Drosophila melanogaster: one gene and its partners. The protein of the gene in region 2 interacts with the protein of the main gene of each other region in a pairwise test. Each region holds a gene or a part of one and is shown on either strand. Other genes may lie near its edges. The genes, in order: CG6357, CG4716, CG33655 and CG13461.

Evidence for each region.
Region 1: the proteins of CG4716 (region 2) and CG6357 interact in a two-hybrid assay, tested with the Drosophila melanogaster proteins (one large-scale study listed by BioGRID).
Region 3: the proteins of CG4716 (region 2) and CG33655 interact in a two-hybrid assay, tested with the Drosophila melanogaster proteins (one large-scale study listed by BioGRID).
Region 4: the proteins of CG4716 (region 2) and CG13461 interact in a two-hybrid assay, tested with the Drosophila melanogaster proteins (one large-scale study listed by BioGRID).

What each region holds. Positions count from the first base shown.
Region 1 is NT_033778.4:13,837,514-13,842,657, reverse strand, and holds CG6357 (uncharacterized protein), read right to left. Parts: upstream 2,606-5,144; 5' UTR 2,581-2,605; coding exon 2,353-2,580; intron 2,284-2,352; coding exon 2,014-2,283; intron 1,954-2,013; coding exon 1,684-1,953; intron 1,626-1,683; coding exon 1,341-1,625; intron 1,278-1,340; coding exon 1,011-1,277; 3' UTR 915-1,010; downstream 1-914. Other genes in the region: CtsL2 (cathepsin L2), read right to left, coding at 3,440-4,169, 4,611-4,939.
Region 2 is NT_033778.4:13,254,374-13,258,878, forward strand, and holds CG4716 (uncharacterized protein), read left to right. Parts: upstream 1-2,213; 5' UTR 2,214-2,309; coding exon 2,310-2,981; 3' UTR 2,982-3,073; downstream 3,074-4,505. Other genes in the region: CG10799 (uncharacterized protein), read left to right, coding at 3,578-4,078.
Region 3 is NT_033778.4:21,316,566-21,322,397, reverse strand, and holds CG33655 (uncharacterized protein), read left to right. Parts: upstream 1-2,380; 5' UTR 2,381-2,434; coding exon 2,435-2,533; coding exon of another isoform or gene 2,534-2,537; intron 2,538-2,594; coding exon 2,595-2,819; 3' UTR 2,820-2,995; coding exon of another isoform or gene 2,996-4,317; 3' UTR 4,318-4,381; coding exon of another isoform or gene 4,382-4,551; 3' UTR 4,552-4,605; downstream 4,606-5,832. Other genes in the region: CG30394 (uncharacterized protein), read left to right, coding at 1-180, 241-389, 450-586, 642-2,237; CG9485 (uncharacterized protein), read right to left, coding at 2,996-4,317, 4,382-4,551, 4,612-4,789, 4,846-5,701, 5,759-5,832.
Region 4 is NT_037436.4:15,050,856-15,054,711, reverse strand, and holds CG13461 (uncharacterized protein), read left to right. Parts: upstream 1-2,221; 5' UTR 2,222-2,236; coding exon 2,237-2,650; 3' UTR 2,651-2,781; downstream 2,782-3,856. Other genes in the region: CG18649 (uncharacterized protein), read left to right, coding at 609-887; CG43680 (uncharacterized protein), read left to right, coding at 1,417-1,566; CG43679 (uncharacterized protein), read left to right, coding at 3,498-3,689.

The DNA of each region.
Region 1 (5,144 bases), 580 kb from region 2:
CACGTGCAGTGCAAATAGTTGATGCAAATAGTTGATGCGATTCGGCCACCTGAAGGACATACATATGTACGAACCACACTGCTCAAGCCACATATCCAATTTACCATCTGAGATTTACCCAACAAATATAGAACCTGTGGCCAGGGTCGATGCTTGGTTAGATGAGCAGCAAATGCAACCACTTACAATAAACGCCAAACAATATGTAAATTCTAAACCATAAGAGATTCAATAACCGTAGAATTGTTGTGAGGGATTCAGTACTCGGGAGATTACTGCAGGAATATTTCTAGTTATGGTTCGCAAAAACACGCTGAAGATATGAAATGGTATAGGGCTTGTTCAAGGCTTACTGTTGCCACCCCCTTCCTACCAAAAGATTTGTATAGTAACTATAAATGCCCCAACAATACCCATTATGCATTGTAAAGAAGCGGTGTGTTGTCCACTTCGATGTACTCAGATATCAATGAATGTAAACATATTGATTACATAAAAACGTTCACTTAGTGCAGCAACTTGCGATAACCTACAAATGTATTTGTTAAATTAAATACTATATACATATATATTATATATATTTACGGATTGTATGTGTAATACGAATAATGCGCCCTGTTAAATGCAACAAGGAGATAGGGATCTCAGCAAATATACAAGTATAAATTAATCATTTAGAGTTCGTGTGCGTTATAAAACAAAAAGGTAGTGAAAGAAACATAAAACAAAATTTACTCATTTAAAACTTAATGATCGATTTAAATAGCGAACCCAGCCATAAAATCGGCTTGAACATTTGCGAAACACTATTGTAATAGATAAACTCCTCAAGCAAGATTCTCAACTGGACAGCCCCTCAAGAAATAATAATAAATACATATTTTTAAAAATTAACCCAAAATCACTAAGGTATTCTCTTTGCGTTAGTAGCAATATTTTTGCGTGTATTTAAAAGGTGACAAACATTTCATCTGAAAATGTACTCGGTACAATATCTTATCATCTAGTTTTTAAAAAACATTTTTTTTGTATTTCTTCTCCTTGCTTATTTTTGTAGTCGTTTCTTCTTTTGAAAACTCTGGAGCTAAATTAGGTCGTTGTTTGGTTTTCCACTCTTCTACAGTTAGATCACTCCACTGATTTATGCCCTTCTTGAAAGATTCCACTCCCAATTCGAACTGCTCATTGTGTTCCTGAATCGCTTTCCAATTGTCGCAAAATATAGTTCGGCGTTTTTCTGTTTCTTTTTCATCTTGATATTTCGCACCGAAATCAATCTGTAATAAAGATATATTCATTCAAATTCTCAAATTCTATTTACATTGCAAGCCAAATATTACCAAAAACTTTTTCCATGCTGCCTGACATGTATTATCATCCCTCTTATCCTTAGATATTTTTGTAGTAGCTTCAACTTTAGAAAACTCTGGATTAAAAGCAGGTCGTTGTTTGTTTTTCCACTCCTCAACGGTCAAATCACTCCACTGATTTATACCCTTCTTAAAAGAAATATTTCCCAAATCGAATTGAACATTGTGCTTATGTATCGACTTAAAGTTGTCGCAAAATACATTTCGTCGCTTTTCGGTTTCAGTATCATCTTGATAAGACGGCTTAAAGTCAATCTGCAATTGATAAAAGCAACTTTAATAAAAATTCTTTAAATACCCAACCATATCTTACCAGGAACTTCTCCCAAGCCGGCTGGCATATGATATTATCATTATCTATTTCGGATGTAGATGTAGTGGCTTCTTCCTTACGAATCTCGGGAGCAGGACTAGATCGTTCCTCAATAGTATGATCAGTCCACTGATTTATGTCCCTCTTGAAGGGCTCTGCCCACTTTTCATACTGCACATTGTGCTCCACAATCGCCCTCCAGTTTGCACAAAATACATTGCGGCGTTTCTCGGTTTCATTTGCATTCTTATACTGCGCTCCAAAGTCAATCTGTAATTCATATCATACATATTAATACCAAGTTGGTTTTAATAACCTAGCTAATCTTACCAAAAACTTTTCCCATGCAGCCTGGCAATTGACTTTGTCTCGCTCCTCCTTTGATGATTCACTAGCGATTTCTGGCATAACTTTGGGAGTTTGTTTCTCTTTCCACTCTTCAAAGGTAAGATCACTCCACTGGTTGATACCCTTCTTGAAGCTGACAACTCCCAAATCGTATTTCAAATTGTGATCGCGAACTTTTTGCCAATTTTCGCAGAATATATCACGTCGCTTTTGCCGTTCGTAGTCATTATCGTAGTGTACATCAAAGTCGACCTTGGAGTGTATACAAATAACTTCCTTGAACGATACCCTTTCTTGGAATTATGCGATCAAAAAACTTACCAAGAACCTTTGCCATGCAAACTGGCATTCCTCCTCGAACTCAGATAAGCCAGAGGTGTGTTCAATTGTGGGTGTCGATGAGTCAGCGTCGCTTTTCCCAGTAGTAACCCCAATCTCTGGATTGATTTTTTGTGTAGCAGGTGATGATGTGCTTACTGGTACGCCCAGAGCCACGCCCATCAAATACAGGAGCAGTGGGACGCCAAGTAAAATTCGAGCTGAGGTCATCTTGAACACTTTTCTCGTACTGCGCTCCGCACTGCCAGAATCGCGAATTATATGGGGAATACATACATATATAATTGCAAGTACTCAAAATCAGCTGCATTCAGAGAGAAATCTAAATAAAAACCGACAACGAGAGCGATTTCTTTTGCTCTCTTTTCTCTTAAGTGTTGATCTTTTAAAAGAGTAACTGCATTTACGTGACCTTGCCCACCAAATATATAACAACTGGCATAATTGCTTTATGATTTGTTGCAATAGTATTGAATTAAATTAATTTGAAATTTAAGCCCCGTTTTTATACCCATTACTCGGCGGGAATACTAGGCTCGTTGATAGGAATGTAACAACTACATTCTAGATATGTATGTGTTTTCCACACAAATGCTGTAAACAAACGTTACGCTGCTTGCAGCTTTTTCTGATTAACGGGTATGCATTAGTCGTGACACCCGACTGTAGCGTTATTTCTTGTTTATATTAAATTTGTCGCAAATTTACACGGTTATACGGTTATGTGTGCATTGTTCATTTTCTATCCACTTTGCCAAATTGAAATTTATTACTTTCTCAAACAACTTCCCACACAGCGTTGTTCTTCATTAAGAAAATGTTTCTCAAAAAATAAATAAGACCGAAAATTAATTTTTGTGTGCATAGCCGTTAAGACTACGATCCAATTTCTCAGAATTTCCCCAGAAAGCAACACAAACCGATAAGGCACTTGTTTCATTTATTAACCGCGTGACTCATGGAATCGATGTGGTGACCCACACAGCTTACGACTACAGTAACAAAGTTATAAATTCGTGGTTTTTAATTGACTATACTATCTAACTAATTGCATGGCGCAGTTGTGAGCCTACAGAATGGGGTAGCTGCACTCGCTGGCGATGCCGCAGAATCCACCTGCATTCCGGAGGATGCGCATAAAGCCGCCCTCGCCCCAATTCTGAGAGTACGAGTTCTTGATGATCCAGTAGTCGCGTCCATTTTCCGTTCCATAGCCCACCACGGTTACCGAGTGATTCAGTTCGCCCTGATTGCACTCCTCGTCCTCGTAGATGCCACCGCTGTACTGCTCAAACGAAATGGTGTCCGCGTTCATGGAGCACGCCAACGGTCCCAACGTGGCAATCACCTCCTTCATCTTCTCCTCATCCCCGGGAGTAATGGTGGCATAATCGCGAATTTTCACCAGACTCTCGCGCGGTGGACGTCCGGCGGTTTCGTTCTGACGGCACTGCATCTCCGTCTGTGTGTACGGATATTTGTTGGCCAGCGTTACACCGTGATCGCGTATGTACTCGAAACCGTACTCCTGGAAGCCACCGTCACAGCCCATGTTGCCGTAGTCATCGGCACAGTCCACCAGATTCTGCTGCGACAGCGAGGCCAGCACTCCAGTCCGCCGGAATAGATGTCCTTCGAGCGCTCCTGTGGTGGCGAACGACCAGCAGGCACCGCATCCCACACCCTGGAATCCCGGTGGCGTCACTCCGCCCTTCTCGCGCCAATCGAACATCTCGGGAAGATTGGCACTCGCCGGATTCCTGGCAGTCACAAAGTTGATATGGCCATTCGTATATCTCCTGCAAGGTAAGTAAAACATTTTAGTATTCCGTTAAGCAAAGATTAAAGCAAATTAGTAGCTTACTTAAGTGGCAACCAGACTACATTTAAATGTTATTCATAATGTTCTTAAATGTATGACAAACAACCGATAAGTTATGAAACATTTGTTATGGAGCTTCGTCGTAATAAATAAGTTCGATATGGAAGGGTTTTGTTTGTTTCCACCCATTTGGTTATAGTTTTCGGGAAACCACAAACCTATGGTCGGAATATTTGATCAATTCTGATTTCTTGATTAGCATAACCGGGAAACCAATCGGCACCTACGTAACGTTACAAATCATATGGACGACGATACCGAAACCCGTTTGAAAGTTATAAGCTGGGTGATAATTCGTTTATGGCCAAAAAGGGGACTTCCCCCGAGCTCTAGATATGCGTAAGATGGTGCTACTTACTCGCCAAATTCGGAGATTTTGGAGCCCAGCAAGGTGGCTATCTCCTTTCTGGTCATGTCGGCCAGCGTATTGACGCCCAGCCGGAATCCGGACACGCCGTTGTCGGCGTTCTTATTGCTCAGCGTGATCAGCGACATCTTGGCCGCGAAGATGCTCTCGCGATAGACTCGCTCCTCATCCGAGTACACCTTGCCCGTCTGCCGGAGGAAGTCGTCGAAGTTTTGCACATCGCAGAGCTTGGGAAACGACTGCAGTTGCTGCAATGACACAGCACCCAGCAGGGCCAGTCCCAGCGTCATCTGCAGCCACATCGTTGAGCACATCCGCATCTGGAACGGTGGACAGCAGAGCGAGTGGAAAGCGTTAGGTAACCACTTGGCCAATACATAGTTACACCATCCCATCCCATCTCATCGCATCCCGCGACCCCTTTTCATGCCCCTTTTCTTGCCACATCTATCTGTCAACGTTAATCACTTGGCCGCAACTCGACCCGTTCATTCACCTCCAATCGAACCAACCTGCCGTGCAGAT
Region 2 (4,505 bases):
CAAATAACTCAAGCTAAATAATAGGTAATAAAAAGTTTATGTCAATATGGATTAATTAAAATTTAAATATATAAATAATAAATACATATATCCAATACTTTTTGCAAAGCTCTTGCAGTACAAGTTATAAATGAACGCATTTGATTTAAAGAAAAACTGGTATACTTTTAGGCTTGACATACTAATACTATATCCATTTAGATTAAACGTTCTTAAGCAATAAACAAAATGAATTTAAATGATATGAACTTGTGTAAACAGATTCTTTAGTCTTAATAAGAAGGCGATTTTTTATTTTTAAGAACTACAGCTCCATTACCGAACTTTGTGTGGAATTAAGGCGAAACTGCCGGACTTTAAGCACCATCTGGGGTCCAATTGGAGGACCTAAGTAAATCTTGCGAGGGCTTTAAAGTTGATTGATCGTTGCCCATTGTGTGCGTGTGTTCTTGGAATTTTTTTTGTCCGGGTGCGGTAAACTTTATGACATTGATAAATTTTTAATAAATATGACAAAATGTCGGCGCTTTAATTCACTGCCATTTTGGGCAGCGGCACCTGGTGCCTGGAGCAAGGATTTACATAAAAGTGCTGCAGTGCTGAAGAGTATAATTTGCATGGGAAGCACTGCAGCACGTGGAATGGATTTCGGGTCTTAATACTTTCCGTTTGATTGTCTGGGCGTGGAAATTGATTCAGCACAATGCCAAATTGCTTTAAATTATGCATGAGCCTGCGACTTTGCTCCACCCAATCCACTGCTTTCCCTTTGATGTTGCGGAGGACATCTGGGAATCATATTCAATAAGTTGGATCCGCAGTAAGAGGGCAAATAACTTTTTTTATGACAGACGCAATGGGCCAATCCCCTTTGATGGCTGTTAAATAAATTTGTTTTCGATGTTATTTAAGACGCTGCCATTGCCGCGCCTTCAGGTGAATAATAGCCAACTTTCTGATGGATATTTAATAGTCGGGTAAACACCGGTGACACTATAATTGCCCCTACTGGGCACTCATCAGTGGACACATGTGACCTACCGGTGGACGCACTTCCCAGTCGTCTCACGTCTTCTTCGGCGAAACCGAAAGGGAATCCTTTTGCTATTTATCATTCAGTCCGAAACTTTTCGGGAATCCTTTCACTTTTTTTTTTTGTTTGCTTATCTGTCTTAAGTGGCATTTTTGGCTTAGGCGTCTACAGTATCTGTCGGATACTTAGGAGAACTCTTGAACTTGACTTTCCCTCCACGAAACGCTTCAATTACGCTGGCACGTTGCGCCGGCAAAATTGTAATTTACGAGTGTTTCTCTACACAGCGCGGGAAAAGATAGTCTTTTGGATACACAAATCGAACAGATTAAAAAATGATAAACAATTTTATGGTAAAAGTTTTCGTTTTACTTACTTTTACTTATATGAAAAGAAGAAATAGGCAAGCGCTTAACTTTCGGATTTTTTGATTTAATGGAGCTCTTTGGAATTCATTTTTTCATTAATAAATTTAATTTTATATTTTTTCCCAGAAATTATATATACATATATATGCTGTTTAGATTAGAAGTTCAATTTATGTGGGTCGTTCTTTAAAAACAAATATGGATTTCACTGAAAAGCATTAAAAGATTAGATGAGTTAACATATATATTATATATATATTTAATTAAGGAATTTATCTATAAAACAAAATTGTAAAGCTAATAAAAAAATATTATGTATTCAACAAGATTTTGAGTGTTTAAATTTGTTTTAAAATAATTCTGAATACAAAAATATTACCTGTGACTGGTAAATTTACATTTTTTGCTTGCTGTGTACTCGGATTATACTTATACATTTTTGCTCATCTGTTTTGAAGTAGCATCAATAATTACAAATTGCGCGTCGGGATGATCTGTAGTGATCCGTGGGCTTATCAGGCCTGACTTTGGCAGCTCGATAGTGCATCGCGTTCCACAGCCTCTCAATTTGTTGTCATGAATTATGCAAGTGAGTCTGGATTTCTGGACTCGCAATTGGCGCAAACTCGGAAATTGCGCAGTGCCGCGGAAACTGAAAATGGGAGAGAGTGTTATGTGCAATCTATATGAAATATATGTATTTATACATTCGCATTTGATGGAAGCTTTAATTACGGTTGCACCCGTAATCTGAAAATCTGGACAGAAACGAACTTTTGAGGTTTCTTGGCAAATCTTTGCCATCGGTCGTAGTCAGTTTGCAAAATAAGGTCTTGGCGCAAAGTGTGCCTAGAGGAGCACAGGAGAGTTTACATACCTTAAAAGGTTATACCACAAGGACTAGATCAATGCAGCGATCACTGTTACTACTGGCCGTGTCAGCCATCCTTTTCTGTGCTGCAGTGGCTCTGCCCTCAAGACTAACCAAATCCGAGGAGGATTGGCTGGAGCAGATGCTGACGCTGAGCGAAGACAGCGGTGAACTGCAGGACCTGGACGAGAGCACCGGAATCCATATTATCAAACGATCTGCCAAGGATGCCAGCAGCTCATCTGAGGAGCATAATGACAAAGCCAAAGACAAGGCCAAGAACAAGGCGGACAGCTCCGGCGATTCCTCCTCCGAGGAAAAGACAACACCAGCTGCGGTAGAAGAAACAACTACGGAGCACACTGCTAGGAAACGCAGAAGCACGGAGGATACGATGGTGCGATCCTTTTGCCAGTCACTGAAAGAATTCGATATTAAGAATTTCAATCTACAATCTGCATATGACCGGGCCGTAAGCTTTTGTAAGCAAAGGGAGTCTAGACGAAGACGCCAGGCTGCCGATCAGAAATCCAGCGATGCGCCGGACCTGGATGCCCAGGCTGAGAAGGAACTGGACGAGCAGATGGCGCAGGCTGTGGCGGAGCTTTTGAAGGACAAGGACAACACCAGCATCGAAGACTACGCCCAGGGATGCGAGGTCATGGAGGTTAGCTCCAAAGAGGCCAACGAGGCCACCTATGCCGAATGATTTTGAATAAACATAAATAACATTATAGCTTATGTTTTCGTAGCCATATTACATTTTTACTATTATTATAATGACTGAGTCATCAAAACAAGAGATTAGGCTATTGCCTATGTATTATTTACTTTTTAACTTATGGGGTGTGTTTATTCAAGTTTACGAGTAACACGTATAAATATCAGCAACAAGAAATATTTTCCTCTTCTAATAATTAATTTTGCCATATTATTTAACTATTACAATTTTCATTACTTGAAATGCATTTGGAAATTAGCTCACCTAACATTGAAACTTAGCTTATTTAATTGTGTAAGTCAAATTATGCATTACGTGTCTGTTTTAAGGGACTAAGTGCGTCTGTTTCAATCTACATGCATTATAAAGAGTCATTTCTGAAACCCACTATCTGCCTGACTCAATTGAATTTGAGTCTATAATCACATAATCGCCGAGGAGGCGATAGCACATTTGTTGAGGCTTCGCCGGTAACGTGTGCAGCTGTCCAGAATCAGTTCGAAAAAATCAGTCTCAGCGAGAAGAACCCACCCATCAAGCTAGTGGAATAGTGGAGTTTACCAGGATATACAAAGATTACCGGGATGCGTCGATCTGTTTTGCTGTTCCTAATCTCCGCCATTGTGCTGAGCGCGGCACTTCCTTTGCCCCCAATTTGGGAGGACTCCGAATCGGATTCCGAGTATAATGATTATAGTGAGCTATCGAAGCAGCAGAATCTGAAGAGCAGTATCGAGAAAACTATCAGCAAGCGAGCTACCAAGGACACTAGTAACAGCACGGAAGATGATGAGCTCACGGATGGTAGCAATGAGAATGTTAACGATAAAATGGACAGCTCAATGGAATCGTCTTCTATGCTGATCATGGCATCCGAGGAAGAATCGGAGTCCGCTGTCAGAAGGCGCAGGTCTGGTGAGAGGAACAGGAATATAGGGCTCCTGGCCACGATTTGCCCAAATGCTGATTTCAGAGATTTGGAGAACGGTATTACCCTAGATTCTAGAATTGAAATAAGGGATATGTATGCGATTTGTAAAACTCTACCAGAGTCCGGTCGTCTACAGCAATACAACCGTTCATAAATTAAATAAAAGCAAAGAAGAATTCTAAAAATTTAAAAATTCTTCTGAAATTTGTTTCCCTCAGTCATGAAACCCCTGTCTCATTAGTCATCTACCTCATTATCAGTAAAAACCATCCTTATCACGACAGCAGTCGTCAAAGTTGTCTGACCTCAGAGCAAAAATGTCAGTTTCATGTTTGTTTACGCTTTTGAATTTATGATTTACTCATGAGAACTAAAAAAAGGTCTGCATTCTTGAAGTGATTTTAGAACGCTTTGGTAACCAATATCTTGTTAATAAGGATTTAGAAATATAAAATTTTTTTTTGTAATATTACCAACAAAATCTTTTGGAGAATTTCGATCGATACTTATAACCAACTTTGAAACTTCTCTTTGAAACTGAAGCTAGGGTATCTGTTAGTCGAGGAAATTGACCACAGCAT
Region 3 (5,832 bases), 8.1 Mb from region 2:
CAGCTTGTCCGCCGTTTGCACCGCGTCCATAGGTTTCTATGTCTGCCTAATTCTCAAGATCGTGTTGGAGGCCCAGCCACACATTACGGCCAACGACTGGACGGAAAAGGTGCTCTACTGGGAACCGGCGGGCGTACTCCAATGCCTACCCATCTTCAGCATGGCTCTCTCCTGCCAAATGTGTGTACACCCTGCTTTCTATGTCCGCAAAATTTATTTATATATCTGATCTATTTACAGGCAACTATTTGAGGTCTTTGAGAGCATTAACAACCAGAGTCTCGACAAATTAAACGGCATCGTCCGCAATGCCACTTGGATTTGTACTTTTGTTTACATATCTGTTGGTTTTTTCGGATATGTGGCGTTTTGTACGCACACCTTTTCGGGTAAGCCAGCCACCTTTTTGAGGCATTCTCTGTTCTACATATTTGGCTTTGTATTTATAGGCAACATTCTGGTGAACTTATCGACCTCCTTTGGTAGCGATATCATTAAAATTGGCTTTGTGCTGTCAATTGCTTTTAGTTTCCCATTGGTAATCTTTCCCTGCAGAGCCAGTCTCTATTCGCTGCTATACAGAAAGGTATTTTTGTAACTTCAGTTGGATGGTGTAGACACTAAATATCTATTTTGTATAGGGTCATACGGAAAGCAGTAGCTACATACCTGAACAACGCTTTCGATTCATCACTATCTTCATCGTTGTCTTTTCGTTATGCGTGGCTTTGGTTATTCCCTCCGTGGAGCTTATAATTGGCTTGGTGGGTTCCACCATTGGCGTAGCCATTTGTATAATGTTCCCCGCATCCAGTTTTCGAAAAATCATCAAAAAGGAATCTATGGAACGTACGCTTGCCCAGTTTGTATTCGTAAGTGGATTTCTATTGATGATCCTGGGAACGTATGCGAACCTAAGTGCAATTGATGAAAAGAGCTCCGGCCCGGAGTTTGATATGGTTGCCATAGGCACCCCTCTGTATCCCGATGGCCAAGTGCCAGCTGTCGTCGGCGAGCTACCAAAACATTTGGCCAAAGAATCCATTGACAGTGAAAAGAACCTATTGTTAAAGAAACTGGATGTCCAAAATCCAGACAAATTAAAACAAACCGTTGAGGATAAAGTTGTTGATATGCCGGAGGTAGTGCAATCAGCTTCCTCCGACAACCCACCGTTGCCACCACTGCCCATCGATGAAGTCCATGTAGTTCCCATAGATAGTAAAAATTCTGAAACGGATATTAAAAAACTACCAGTAGAAGCCGTAGAAGCAAACCCACCAGAAGCCAAACCACTCGATGTCAACCTTACCGTGGATAAGCCCAAGAATAATCCGCCTGCTGTTGCTGCATCGCTTCCAGATAAACCAAAAATTGGATCGAGCTTGTTATCAGCAAGCAATACAATTGATGGAGCGGCCATCAAGAAGGAGGAGGACGTGGCTGCCGAAGAGCAAAAGGAAAGTAAGGCTAATGCAGATGAGCTACTCAAAACCCAAAAGGAATTAAAGGAGACCAAAAAACTATTGGCGAAAACCGTTGGGGAGCTAAACGAAGAGTTGGCCAAGAAAAATTCATTTAATCAGCCACCTTTGGAGTTACAGAAAGATGAGCCTTTGGATACTGGTGCGAAATTTGCCGAGGAACCGAAGAAGGCTGAAATTAAGCTTAAGGAGTCGCAGCCAGTTGCGGACGAAAAGAAGGAGAGAAGGCGGCAGGCATCGTTAATGGACATACTCACGGAAAATACACATTTGCGCGATGAAAAGGAGGCCCATGCCGGCGTTTTTGAACCTCTATCCTACAAAACCGGAGAGTTACTCAGGAATTCGACCGTAGATAAAGAAGCGCTTATCAAACGATTGCCCATTCCACTAGCCCTAATGGTGAATTCTACTCAGCCGAAATCATCGAATGACTCGGAGATCAAGAAACCCAACCTTGAAGACAATGTAGAGGCCATTCGCCGGGAGCTGCTCAATCTGCGAAGTTCGGCGGATGCGACAGAGCAGCCACCGGCAAGGGTTAAACGTGAGGCCTCAAACGACGAGAACTGCCTACGCCAGCCCAAGCTGGATGAAGTGAATAATAATGTGGCTGCAGCTGCCTTGAGCTTGAACATGGAAAGTATTGGACGCGATCTCAAATCCATCAAAGATGATGACGTCGAGATAGTTACTGAAAACGAATCCTACCAAGCGAGTCCAAATGGAACCCAAACTTCGCTGCAGACGTAATGCGGATAGTTTACAACTATGCAAAGCTTTATGTATATAACCTTTACATGTATTTATTTAGTTTATAAGAAACTGTAGACTAGAAGTATATACAAATTATATACAGTTCATATGACTTGGGAATATTGTGTCAAATTTCTCGTGGAGTTGCTAGCAAAATTGTATGTGAAGCCCAGGTTTTTTGTAATTCCATCAAAATGTCCATCGTCCTTGATGTTATCCAACAAGTTGTGTTGCAGAAAGCTTACGATCTAACATGCGAGGCAGCCATTTTAGCCTTGAGAAAATGTGGCAAAGTGAGTAGGTGTAATATTTTTAAAATAATATTTATATCGCAATGGTTAATTTCTATTTAAGCTGAAAATAGAGGATGGTAAATCGAAAGCAAAGCGTGAAAAGCCTCTACCTCCGGTCAAGCCTATTTCCCAGGAAGCGGTTTCACCAATGAAAGCTCCAACGATTCCCGAGGCTAACACCATTCCAAAATATACGGGACGGGACATGCCTCGAAAGAACTTTGGCTCCATCGATCCCCCCCAATGCTCCTGCATGCGTGTGTGCCGAGATAGTTACTTCTCTTAGACGAAAAAGAACGCTTAAAAACAATTGCAACTTTAATAGAATAGGAATAGCAAAATTTCAAGGGACCTCAGGCATCGAATCTCATTCCATCTTGTATCCGTACAATTATCAAACGTAACACTAATAACAGTTTTTGGTAGCAACTAACAGGTTTGAATATGAGTATTTACGGTGGTTTAGGCCACGTCTGCTCCCAAGGAGTGCAGATCGTACAGGACTTCCAAAATGGCAGCAACACTCCAGGCCTGCGTGCGACAGGAGTCACCGCAGTAGGAGCCATTATCGTTGGTCAACTCGGGCAATCCGCGCCAATGGGATGTCTGTAGCTCTCGGAGATGGGCCCGTAGTATGGCCCAGGTCTCGGCAATGGTCTCGTCCAAATGGCCACACTTTTTGGCGAAGATCAGGCGCGCCCGCAGGTAAAAACCGATGGGCCATACCCACTCCGGCCCCTGGTGGTAGTTTGCGCCATGGGCTACAGTGCAATCGGTGGAGTCATTTGAGTTGTCATAGTTGGCCCTATAGTTCCAGTCCTCGGGATCCATCGTCTTCATGCCCAGCGGTCCCAGAAGATACTTTTTGGCGCGCTCCAGTGCACGCCAGGCATTCTGAGGATTGCACAGGTCGGGAGCCACGGTCAAGGTGATGGGGAAGTTGCATCGCAGCTGGTAGTCCGTCCAACTCTGGGTGGCTCCATAGCTGTCCTTGTAGATAAGCTTCTTGTTGGCCACCGAGCAGGTTTCCGATTCGGATACAAAGAAATACTTGTCAAAGTTGTTCTTGATGCGATCCGCCCACTCCTTGTAGCTCCACTTGGTCACTTCGCCCGATGGACCCTTTCGTTCCACGCCGGTGTACGGGATAACCTCCTTTTCGGCTAGGCTTTGCATAAACCGGAGTACGGCATACTGGAGGCCAACGAGCTCCACGGCTGATCCGTCGCGCGGCGTACTTGGACGTCCCTTGTTTCCGGCCTTCTGTGAGGATCCCATTTTGTCCATCCAAGTGCCGCAGTTGAAGTTATTGCCTCCGAATACAAAGCCAGTCTCCGGGTGAATTCCGATCTGATTGTTAAAGCCCTGGTCCACCATGTGCGCATCGATCTCATAGCCTGCATTGCGCTCCCTATACTGCAAGCCCTGAAAATGCACCTGCAGTGCCTCCTGCATCACGTCGAAGAGAAGTTGGTCGAAGGCACCTGGAGCATGGGCATCGGCATCGTCGTACGGAAATATGCGGGACACCTTGTCCTTCAGGATCTCGGCACCCTTGGGGGCATCCTCCACATACTGCTTGATGCAGTACATCCACCACCAGATAGCATCGCGGCAGTTGAATCTCGGCTTGCTGCCGCTGTCCAAAAGATTCGGAATGAGTCCGTGTCGAAGGGTCTGACCAAATCCAATGATGATGAAGCGAGCCTCGTTGTAACGGCCAGTGAGGAACATGGAGCCACGCAGAGCGATGAAGGTATCACGGCCCCAGCACCGCATATAGCCTACATAAATGGTTGAATATTCCATTATTCCGTTTCGATTGTTAAATATAATAGATAAACTCACCCGTTGAGAAATGCGGCAGACCAGCAGATAGAGTCACACATTGCTTTGGAGGCTTGGGTGGACTTAGAGCAGGACTGAATCCCGGCAGATTGGCCGACTTGCAAACGGAGAGGAACTGCAACGTGGACAGGGCCAGGGATTGTGGGAAACTGTGGCCATTCTTAATGAAGCTGTAAAAATTAAAGACTTAATAAAAACTCCATGAATGCAGTCGGCTCTAATGGACATACTCTGGCATTAGTTCGTTGACCTGGTTGATGAGCACATTGTAAACCCCGCTGACAATGGCATCAAAGTAGCAGGGTATGAGGTAGCGTGGAATATTCTTCAGTGGCTCAAAGGTAGCTTTGAACCAGGCGGAGAGTGGTTTCAGGTCTTCATAACTAGTTAGGCGATCAGAAATGTAATCTGAAAAGAATTATGTTGTAAAGTAACTACATAAATCTCTATCTTTACAAACTTACCCATCATCCAGTTTCCGTCGCGCAGATTGTTACAAAGCGGATGTCCCAAGTCATTTTTAGGCGAAATCTCCGTCAACAGGGAAATGAATCCTTGCAATCCGCAGTAAACGATCTTTCCAAAGTTGGGAATGTCGTAGGCGGTGCCACCTTTGCCAAGATCCCTCTCCTCATCATCGCAGCTGAAAAGGGCACCACTAAGTGCCACCAGATCCAACTTGGAGACGATAGCCTGCAGCTGGGAATACTCCTCGCCAGATCCAATACGCAGGGCAGCCGAGATTTTCTGGAGCTTATCGAAACTGGTGCGAGGACCAGGATGCATAGACACTCTGATGGCCACCACAGTGCCGGGTCGTAGATTGGCAAAGTTTAGCTCCGTGTTGTTGCCATCCGAATAGGCTTGGGTCTGAAACACTGTCGACTTAGCCAGCGGGATGTGCTCCTGCAGATTCAACTGGAACTGAGTAAAGCCGTTGATTACATTCGGATCCTTTTTGAATGGAGCAGGACGATCGAATGGCTTGTCACTCTGCATGGTCAAGCTGGCCTCCAGGATGATCTCGTCCAGCACACCCTCGAAACGCAGCGGGCGGATTCCGGTGGGTCCGGCATTAGGAGAGGGATAGCCAAAGGCAGTGTGGGCCACGAGAATAACTGACTGATGCGTGATTGGCGAATGACGAGTAACTGCAACTACGTTGGGATCCATCTGGTCTACGTAAACTTGGCTAAATCCCTCCTCTGCGAGCTGTCCATGCAGCAAATTCAGTGCTCTTTTGGCACCCATAATTCCGGACTTCGAGTCAACACCTTTGCCCCATTCTTGGTAGGTGCGTTCCTCATCTACGACATGGATCTGGGAAAAAAGTATGAGTTAGTTTCAGGAATAAATCTTAAACGAATGAACGCTCACATGATGGGGGACCAGTTCGTCGTAACCACGGTTACTTCCTGTGGCACAGCATGCCATGGAAACCAGTGCCGCCG
Region 4 (3,856 bases), on a different chromosome or scaffold from region 2:
ATGATTACATTATGCTAACAATCGTCAAGGTTCCATCATGGCCTACGATATATTTAGTTAGAAGTAGTTATTGTTTTTGGCTTACCACAAATACGACACCGAACATGTGAGTAAATATTAAGAAGTTTCGAGTAAGCGGAGCAAAACAAGCTAATGTGCTATGAATCAGAAAATAAGAATATGGAGGGCCATTCCCAAAATTTGTAAACAATTGTAGGTGGAACAGTGGTTATTCTACAAAGAAATAAAAAGGAGTCATTAATTTGATATAGACATTTTCATAAGCAAGTTAACTATGGATTATAACATGCTGTGTTTGCTTTCCTTAGGTTATACAATATATTGTATATAAAAGTATGACGTTAGCCACGTTTCACTGTAATCTTTATACGTTCTCCAAGTTCCGTCAGTCAAATGTTTACGCACGACTTTGCCTCATTTTTTGACGCTCAAACCAAGGCAACAGCTGTCGCGGGGTAAACACAAAACGAACCAAATAAATTGTCACAATGCGCGCTTTTATTTTTCTGCCAATTTAGAGATTTTGCTATAAAAGCGTATTTTCAATGTGGAACTGAACTTAGTTGAAAACTAAATTTGACAATACAATGCGTGCCTATTTGCTGCTTGCCCTGTTTGGATGTGTGCTTTTGGCCACAGTTTCCGCAAATCCGGTGGACATTGACGACTTGGAGGACCTCGAGGAGGACAAACGAATTGCTGATGAGCAGGATAATGCTAACGATGATGAGAAAGACGATGAGGATTCAAATGAACCCGAGTCCGACGACGACTTAGATGAGCCTGAATCCCCGGAGGACGATTCCCAGAACAATGATGATTCCGAAAGCGACGAGAGCATCCAGTACAATCAAGATGAAGAGTAGCTCTAATGGGAATTAACCCTTTCTATTCTTTATTGTCTTTATCTACACGCTTTCACCGGTCGTTAGACGTTTAAACAACTGTTTACACAGAAATACACAGTTCATCTTCAACAACCAAATAAGTAAAGGTTTTTATGTTATTCTAGTAAATACACACATTTCTGGAAACACCCATCATAATTGGTGCTTTTTACTTAACTTCTTTTTATACAGCTCTTAAATGATTTTGTAAAGAATTACATACTAAACAAAATCTTAAAAATGCAATTTTTATTTAATTAATTGGCCTCAAAGCCACTCTTAATACTCTTATTTCAGCGCAGGGAAAAAGAAATAATTTTCTGCCTGTAATGTGTGGCTCAATAGATCAATAAATGTTTTATCTCTCAAATATTTACTTAACATTAGTAAGGTGCAGCCATTGTGCAGTTTGCAATAGAAATTTTAAAGCAAACACGGCATTCATATATAAGAAGTGCAGTACTTTGAAAAAACTTATTCAAAGAAGAACTAAGTCTACGAAATAGAGATGCACTTTCTGATGGTACTCGTGATAATTGCTCTTTTGGCCATGGCCTTTGTGAGTGCAAGCCCACTTCCCCATCCAAGTGGAGAAGTTATCGTTATTGTCAACCCAAAAGCCCCAGTTGACTGGTGCTCTACAACATCAGCGGCTTAAATTCGAAAATACAAAAATATTTAGAAATTCTCCCCCGATGCAATTTCTCAAACACAAAATATGAAATGAGCAACTGATAAATCACCAATAAAGAAAATAAAAATAAAACTTATTCAGGGTAAAACTTTTAAATACGTTTTTTGGTCTTTATAAGTTAAATGAAATCAATAAACGTTTTGAAGTTCGATTTGGAGATATCAGATTTTTTATTTTGCTTTATATTAGCACATATTACCACGACGGAAATGAAAATCCTTTAGGCGAAGTAAATAGTAATGAAGGTAAGAAAATTTGTATCTAATGTTTTAAAAAGGCCAAAAACCATTCACTATCTTTTTAATTCAATGATTGCATGCGAGTGTGTAATAAATATGACAAAATAAAAACAGAGGTCGCTATAGTCAAGTGCCACGACTATTAGATACCTGTTAATCAGAATAGAGGCAAGCACAACGAACCCACTTACTCAAAACAATTCTGGACAATTCCCAGAATAATATCAATTAAGATTGTGCGTCACCACGCAATAATGGGATAAGCATTTGTTCAAATATGAAATTCGTAAATGACTCGTTCAAATAACAAAAAAAGGCATTTAATATAAAAAGCGATTGATCGAGTAAAGTTTCAAATCAGTTTAAAACTTCGCTGAGCACAAGAACACAAAAAAATGCGATTCCTAATTGTCGTTGCTCTTGTGGCCTTTTTGGCTGTTGGTCTTGTGGCTGCACGGCCAGCTGAGGATGAGGAGTCCTCCATCCAGGATAACACCAATGAGGATTCGTCCAGTAATGATGGCGAGGGAAACTCCGATGCTGCCGAGGAAGAACCTGCTGTTGAAGAAAGTCAAGATTCTGGAAATGTGGATAACCAGGATGATGAAAATAGCGAGGATAATCAGGAGGAGTCAGATAATGAATCAAGCGGAGATGATGAGGAAGATAACAACGGGTCTGATGATAATACCGAATCGGATAATAATAACGATTCAGAAGGCGATCAGGAGCAGGATGCTCCACCCAACAACCAGATTCGACCATTCGGACCTCTTCTCATCCAAGCAAGGCCCCTTTTCCTCGATTAATAACACGTGTTTTTAAAATATCCATTAACAATAAACATTAGACAAAATGCTTTAAAATTATACAACAAATAAAACAGTAAATAAATTAAAGCTATATATGTCGATCGATATGAAAAAACGCCACAAAGTATATAATACTTTTTGCAGAATTTGTTTAGCTTGAGGGGCTTGTCTACACAGTTAAAAAAATTATATAGAATGAATACGCTTTCATACCATCAGTTTTTAAAAAAATGTATGCTTAAATGTCAGTTAAATAACAGTCTTTGGTATTTAAAATCTGGCCACAAGATTTTAAATAATTTGATTTTGCTAATATGCTGATATTATATATATAGTTAAAGTAAATTATTTCATTTAAAGTACCATAACACAAGATAAGCTGTATGTCATAACCCCAAGTATTTTCGTTAAAATCCCGTGTTACAGAATTGCTTTAGCAATTTTTACGGCTATTTTATTGTAAAACAATATATCTCTAAAGTTTTTGACTGCCATTCCCAGTGATATTATAGCAACAATGATTATATGGGGAATTTGAATAATTTCGTGCTACAGAATTTATATATTTTCAAGTTATTTTTAGTGCAAAGAAAGCTGCTTATGATATATGCCTCTCAGTTCCTAAATATATCTCTTAAATTGTAGTTCACTTACATCGTCAGGTGACGGAAGAGTTGGCAGATAAAACTGCAATATTTACTTTTGTACATATATGGCAATCTACAGATTGCACAGCTTGGCAGGTAAAATTTTTCTGAATAAGAAGAAACATTCCGTTTTTTATATAAAATGTGCAGTTGATAGGAGAAAGGTGTAGTTACCGGAGAAATTCAAGTGGATTAAGATGCGTTATTTAGGAATTATTGCTCTCGTCGCTTTCCTGGCCATTTCCACTGTGATGGCACATCCATATGCGAACAGTAGCACTGAAGAAGGATCAGGATCCAGTAACCGATCGACTATTCGTCCTGTCCCCAGATGGCCTAAGTGGGGTGGAATCGGTCCAGTCATTTTAAACACTCCCCCCACTCCGTGACAATGAACTACGGAAAGAAATTAATTGTGAAACCCCACAACGAACCTTTGTTGTTGTCTAAAAAAAAAAATATCTCCAAAAATACGCTTGTAAAACTTTCCATTGAGACAATTGTTCAAATACCAAAGCGTAAATAAAGATTTCGTAGTAGATTCTACGAATCGGCC